Kluyveromyces lactis: one gene and its partner. The protein of the gene in region 2 purifies or fractionates together with the protein of the main gene of each other region. This does not show direct contact. Links are inferred from orthologs where the notes say so. Each region holds a gene or a part of one and is shown on either strand. Other genes may lie near its edges.

Region 1 (4,137 bases), on a different chromosome or scaffold from region 2:
CGACAAAACTCTATTTAAGCCATCCTGTAATTTTGTTGTCGTCGTTAACTCTTGCAAATGTTTAACATCATAATTGATATCTAGCTGTCTTTCCAACAACTTAGAATTCCATCCACCCAAAATGATTGTTAAACTTTCACCTGAAACAAATAGGTAATCAATATGTTTGGAAGAATGAATTGTCTCATAAACTCCTAAATAATCATCGAATTCAGTTTCATTCGAGTTCATATAGAGATAGCCCCAAGTCATTATAGCTAGCTCATCATTGAATAGCTTGTCTTTTATGGCATCCTTTATTGAAATAGTTATGGACTTCCTGTTAACAGCATCAAGCGAATCCAAAGTTCTATACTTTAAAAGTTCACAATATGCTTTCAAAGACAACTCTCTACAACTACCAGATAAATATTGCTTTGTTATCTTCTGTAAGATTCTTGAAACAACAGTTCCAAATTCAACAGAATGTAGTAACTGCAATCTGGGGATTAAAGATGCCAAAAGGTACACTAAAACCGGTATAATTGCGGATGGATTATTCGATTCCTGATCAAAGTCAGTTGCCAGTATTTGGGACACAGAATGTGAACTTAACCCAATTCTTGCTCCAATAATCCCGAATGAATTTACGAGAGAGTCCGTATAGATGTCAGGCGGACTTTGTTTAGTATTGATTCGTTTTAAAGTGGATGCTAGAATATTCTCGGATTTCATGATAACATCGTTTTTAGCGTAAGTGACAAGAACTAGGAATAACTTGGAGAAAACAGGATCGTCCTTGGAAGAAACATTATTCTCATGTATTATCTCGTTAAATAAGAACAGCAATACCGAAGATACAGTAGATTCTGAGAGATGCTCGATATTTTCATGAACATGTTTCCTTACATTCTCATCGACCTCGAGACTTTTCTCGATGCGCATGGACCAATTTTCATCCTGCAAAACGACAGTTCTCTTACCGTAAATAGAATTGGATATTAATGTGTGCCGAAGGAATCTAACTCCTGTGACAATGCAGTCCTTTATAGAACAGTGTTCACTTTTGTTTTGGGCTTCAGATAAGAATAAAGATATAAATGAGGAAAAGTCAACAAACCTTGTTTCACTTATTTTTTTGGCCAACAAAGTATCCGTTGACACAAAACCAGTTTCCAAAGACGCCCTGTTCATTCTAAACTGATATGGGCTTAGACCTTTGAATGCTTCTTGAACAACATCAAAACGGTTCAATCGGCTAGTCCCTAAAATACTAAAAACTCTTGCCTCATTGTCTTCAAACGGAAATGCGGCATTATTGAATTTCATGCCGACAAATCTCAAGGTCATGATTGCTTCTTTTTCATCAGAGGTACCGTGTAGTAACGCATAATTATCTTTCAGTGTACTAGATAAAAATTGCTTCAACTGCTTTTTTGATTCTGATGGAAGAAGCGGGAAATGATGTACCAAAGACCCCAATGCATCTTTTATTGTTATTCTGAATTCATTAAGATCCCCGTTCAAGGATTCTAATAGAAACTTTACCATTTCAAAATTCTTAACAGAGTCAAAATCTTGCCTCAAAAGCTGACCTAGCGTCTCATATTGTGATGTTCGTAGGGTGATGCCAGACAATTTGTTTTCCTCCTGAGAATTGTACCGTGGCCAACCTGCTAATTGAATATCATTCTTAATAGCAGTAATGATTGAAGTCATATCATTTCCGGTTGTTTCTCGTAACGCTAGGTGATTGTTTTTGGCAACATGACGAATGAAAACCAGGGCAGCTAATTTGACTCTCAGATTGCGACTAGCAATGCCGTCCATTGATATCCTCAGAGGCAAATTGGGTAACCTCGTTATCAGAATACTTCGCGTTAGAAGTCCCAGTATTTTTTCCTGGATTTGAGGATTCACAGGTGGTAGATGCTCAGCAATATTGCCGCAAAACAAATCTGAGAGATATTTAACAAAAGTTTCATCATCATATGGTATCTTAATTCTCTTCAAAAGCGTGGACGCTGAATCTGATATATCGATTGGTTGTGCTGATACCACCAATAAGAATGGTATCAAAATCTGGTCATTACTAGTCAAACCTGAGACAGTAAAATCAAAAATTGCCCTTCTGTATTGGTTTAACAAGTCTTTGGTGAAGTATATGGCAGGGCTATAAATGAAAAATGACACATCAGTGCTAGAGAGACCCGGACAAAAGTAGGAAACTGAGCTACCTTCTGTTCTCTTGGGAACCAATAGAAAAAACTTCAAGAATTTTTCAACCAAAAATCTTAAATCAGAATCATTTACGTTTAAAAAGTCTATCGTTTCTCTTTCCTCTGAGGAACCTTGCAAAGGAGCTTTCCATGTCAACAATACTTTACACAGAATGTGAAATATTCTTGTTTGTGCTGGTGATGATAAGTTGGAAATATCTTCTATTATATCAGGCAAAAGCTCTCTTGATTCCTGTCTACTTATTCTTTCTACCCCTTTGGAAAGGAAAAACGACGAATAAACAATAACATTGGTAGCGTCCTGACCTTCATTCAGATTTGGCTTTTTAACTTGTTGCAATAGCTGCCTCACCGGAAGCTTACAGCGAAAATGAGAATTGACTCTCGACGTGATATGTTTTATGGACTCATAAACCAATTCCCTAACGGATGAATAAGGTGAGGCTAGCTTTAATAATAAAGGCGGCAAAAAAGTGTTCAAAGTCTGCTCGAATTTAGCATCATCTTTTGCCAATACTAGTCTGAGGTCAACCTTCTCAACAAGTGATCTCTCTTGGCCCTCACTCAATTGCTGGAACTTGCTCATTGGACAACATTAACACACGGTTTTATGATGTCTTTCTTCGTACAGTGGCAAATATGTTCAAATTATTTCCAATCTTCTGCTAATAAGATTCACATCTTTAAACTTTCAAACCTTTAAAGTGCAGTAGAATTCCTTTTGCCTGATTTAAATACCTGATTACCCGCACATATCCATGCTATGAAACCTTTTTTTTCAATTGACAGTTTGTCTATTTTTGTATTTACATAAATTCAAAGGGGAGCTGATAGCAATTGAAACCAGAAAAAATAAAACACCAACTTTGCATCAGTCCACCCTAAAGCACCAATAGAGAATCTAAATAGCTCACAACAGTAATAAATCAACGATAGAGAGCCTAATAAATGTTAGAATCTCTTGTCTCTGCTCTTTTAAACCGATTTTTGGGTGCCTATGTCGAGAATTTCGATCCAACCCAACTTAACGTTGGCATATGGAACGGGGATGTTAAATTACGCAACTTGCGTTTAAGAAAGGATTCATTAGATGCATTGGATCTACCTATCGATGTAAAGTTTGGATATTTGGGAGAATTGACTTTGTTAATCCCATGGTCCAGTTTAAAAAATAAACCAGTGAAGATCATAATTGAAGATGTGTATATGTTATGCGCTCCACGGACACCGGAGTCATATAATGTGGAGGAACAAATTGAGCGCGAGCTCAAAGTAAAACTTCAGCGTCTGGCAGATTTTGAACTCGCCAACAGTTCCAAACCAGATATCAATTTAGATTCTAATCGCAATGAATCTTTTACACAATCCTTGTTGACCAAAATTGTCGATAACCTTCAGGTAACGGTGAAGAATATTCATATGAGGTATGAAGATATGAATTCAGTGTTCAGTGAAGGACCATGCGCATTTGGTATTTCATTAAGTGAGCTCTCTGCAGTATCCACTGATGAATCCTGGAATCCCAGTTTCATCTCCATTAAACAACAAATTACTCATAAATTGGCTACCCTAGATTCTATTAGTATATACTGTAACACAGGCACAGAATCGATAGAAACGGACGACTCTGAGGAACTTTTGATTAGATTACGCGAATCAATTGCCGATAACCGAGGCGCTCCAGAATATCAATACCTCTTGAAACCGGTCAGAGGATCGGCTAGACTCAAAATGAATAAAGCTGGTGCCACTGAAGATGCTCCTCATATCGATGTGCAATTAATGTTTGATGAATTTGCTCTTGTGTTAGATGATTGTCAGTATAAGGAAGTCCTTCACAATCTGTCGAAGTACCACTGGTTCCATAAAACTTTGAAGTACAGACAACATAGACCGACTGTTAAACCTGCAGCTGATC
Region 2 (3,379 bases):
TTGATACTTGGAAACAGAAGCTTGGTGCATACTGGGAGAAATCACAAAATAAGGCAAACGAGACAGCTAATAAACTTCGGGAATACTCAGTGAATTTCAAAACACAATGGGACAAAGCTCAAAAATCTTTAAAGGATGCGAACGAGAGATTGTCTCAGATGGAAAATGACAGTAACGATTCAAAATTGAACTATAACGCTGAAGGTAAGATCAAGGACCTACCTAGCGAAAGAGAACGACATCGTAAAAAATGGGCTCGCAAAATGGAACTGTATTTAGATTCATTGCAAGAGACCATATTCACAGCCACCAGAGCTTTGAATGACGTAACAGGATATTCCAGTATTCAGAAGTTAAGAAATACAATTTCCTCATTGGAAGAAGAGCTGAAGGACACTAAAAAACTTGTCAATGAAGCAAAGGAAAAGTACGAGACAGCTATAAAAGCAAGATCGGGATCGCAAAAGGAAGTTAATGAATTGTTGCAAAGAAAAAATTCGTGGTCTCCTACTGACCTTGATAGATTTACCCAACTATACAGAGATGACGCATTGAACTCTCAAACGGAAGAACAATCTAAGGTAAAACTCGCAGAACTTGAGGCTAAGGAGGAGGAACTTTCAACGAATTTGTACCGAGCCATTCTTACAAGGTATCACGAAGAACAAATCTGGTCAGATAAGATCAGAAGAACTTCGACATGGGGTACATTTATTTTGATGGGAGTAAATATACTCTTCTTCGTAATATTTCAATTACTGCTAGAACCTTGGAAGAGAAGGAGGTTAGTCGGTTCTTTCGAAGATAAGGTAAAAATGGCGCTTGATGATCATCAAAAGGAACAAAACTTGGCAATTTCAGAAATGTCAAATACCATAGACAATTTGATGGATAAAAAACTTCAAGAAACTCAAACAAAACCCCATCAGGAGGAAGTTCCCAAAATCCTCACATTTTCAAATATAGTTGCTGACTTTAAGATATGGTGTTCTTTACAGTGGACAATATACTATAATAAGTTGGTAACTCTTTTACCGGAGACAACCGTCACTTTCACCAAGAGTTGTTTCTACTCGTACTCCACACTACTTTTATCATTAGGTATACTATTAGGACACTGCATTTGAGTATACACAGGTGCATTGATATACGTAGTGGGTAGCCTATCATGTTAACATTCTAAACAGTGTAGGCCCTTCGAAAAAGTTGTCTAAGAACCGAGATCACGTGACTGCAAAATGGGTGGCAAAATACCCAAAATGAGATTTAACTTTTTAATGAAATAATGCAATTATTAAACTGAACGATTTGACATAACCACTTTAGTGTGGAAGGGGATACGTTTATAAATATATGTAGGTACAAACACATATATCCGTGTAAGTAGTAAGACTGACCCCTTAGTTTATTGGAATTGCAGTATATTATTGGAACTTTTCTGTGTTTTCGGATACTTTCGTCTTTATTTGATCATAGTCTAAAGGGAGTTAGAATATTTACACACTACGGGAAAGACGAATTAAGATCAAAACATTATGGAAGAACTAGGTATTAGTACTCCTCAACCTGTTCTTAGTGTAGAATTTGGTGCAAAGAATAATGGTCTATCATATGGTTCCCTACTTGCTCAGCTAAATAATGATTCATTTGCCGTGGCGAATGGTAATTCAGATGTCTACTTGAAACTAAAGAAGCTGGAGAAAGAATATGAATTATTGACATTACAAGAAGATTATATCAAAGATGAACAGCGCCATTTGAAGAGGGAATTACTCAGAGCCCAAGAGGAAGTGAAAAGAATCCAATCTGTGCCACTTGTCATTGGTCAATTTTTGGAACCGATTGACGAAAACACCGGTATCGTCTCCTCGACCACAGGTATGAGTTATGTCGTAAGGATTCTATCGACTCTAGATAGGGAACTGTTAAAACCATCAACTTCAGTTGCATTACATCGTCACTCTAATGCCCTTGTGGATATTTTACCACCTGATTCAGATTCTAGCATATCAATCATGGCCGCAAATGAAAAGCCAGATGTCACCTATGCCGATGTTGGTGGGTTAGACATGCAGAAGCAAGAAATAAGAGAAGCTGTTGAACTACCCTTGGTACAGGCGGATTTGTATCAACAGATTGGTATTGACCCACCAAGAGGGGTTTTACTTTATGGTCCTCCTGGTACTGGCAAAACTATGTTAGTTAAGGCCGTGGCAAACGCGACAGAAGCCGCATTCATCAGAGTGAACGGGTCAGAGTTTGTGCATAAATACTTAGGTGAAGGGCCAAGAATGGTTAGAGATGTTTTCAGATTGGCAAGAGAAAACTCACCATCAATTATTTTCATCGATGAAGTGGATTCCATCGCTACAAAACGTTTCGATGCTCAGACAGGGTCTGATCGTGAAGTCCAACGTATATTGATTGAGTTACTTACTCAAATGGATGGTTTTGATCAGTCAACAAATGTTAAAGTTATAATGGCAACCAATCGTGCTGATACTCTAGATCCAGCTTTGTTAAGACCTGGTAGATTAGACAGAAAGATCGAATTCCCTTCATTAAGGGACAGGCGTGAACGTCGTTTAATTTTTGGTACTATAGCTGCAAAGATGTCTTTAGCTCCTGAAGCAGATTTAGATTCTTTGATCATCAGAAATGATCCTTTATCTGGTGCTTTGATTGCCGCCATTATGCAAGAAGCTGGTCTAAGAGCTGTCAGAAAGAACAGATACGTCATCCTACAAAGCGATTTGGAGGAAGCGTATGCTTCACAAGTCAAGTCAGGTAGCGATGTTGATAAATTCGACTTCTATAAATAATTTAATTTAATTGTGTTTGACTCAATACATATCGGTAAATGCAGTGTATATTGGAAAGTATTCCTAATAGAAAATAAGCCAGTAATATTTCAAACTATTAGACTTACGTTGTATAGCCTTAATCCTGGCTTTATGGTAGTCCAGTCTGGCATATCAATGTGATCTAAATCGAGATGCTGCTGCGTCTCCCATTCTGTGATGAACTTCCATTGCGACTGAAGGGGGGTCAATTTATCGAGAACAGTATTTGGCATGATTAGCTGAATTGAGTCTGTGTTCTCCGAAAATTTTGTAAGAGTTTTATTTAGTAACTCAATGTCACTACCTTTTAAATCAACAACATGATTTGATACAACATGCCAAGGTATATTATCGACAAACTCTACATTTTCCTTAAAGTTCGTGGTAGAAACCGTCAGATCAGGATTGGAATACATCCACGTCGGAGGAGAATATGTCTTCCACCAAATATGAACAGGGAATTCTTCACCTGAGAAGTAGGATATGAGAGGTATTATTCCTGCTTGATGGAATACTCCCATTATCAATCCCATGAC

Evidence for each region. Proteins that work in one complex are often made in the same cells at the same time.
Region 1: the proteins of RPT3 (region 2) and ECM29 purify together in Saccharomyces cerevisiae (affinity purification with mass spectrometry; 3 studies listed by BioGRID). This does not show direct contact. The link is inferred for Kluyveromyces lactis from reciprocal best matches to the Saccharomyces cerevisiae genes RPT3 and ECM29.

The regions. Positions count from the first base shown.
Region 1 is NC_006041.1:67,809-71,945, reverse strand, and holds the start of ECM29 (Ecm29p), read right to left. Parts: upstream 2,806-4,137; coding exon 1-2,805. Other genes in the region: membrane morphogenesis protein VPS13, read left to right, coding at 3,168-4,137. UniProt on the Saccharomyces cerevisiae protein: Stabilizes the proteasome holoenzyme, probably by tethering the 20S proteolytic core particle and the 19S regulatory particle.
Region 2 is NC_006039.1:570,684-574,062, forward strand, and holds RPT3 (proteasome regulatory particle base subunit RPT3), read left to right. Parts: upstream 1-1,535; coding exon 1,536-2,822; downstream 2,823-3,379. Other genes in the region: SHE9 (She9p), read left to right, coding at 1-1,127; SMP3 (glycosylphosphatidylinositol-alpha 1,2 mannosyltransferase), read right to left, coding at 2,912-3,379. UniProt on the Saccharomyces cerevisiae protein: The 26S proteasome is involved in the ATP-dependent degradation of ubiquitinated proteins. The regulatory (or ATPase) complex confers ATP dependency and substrate specificity to the 26S complex.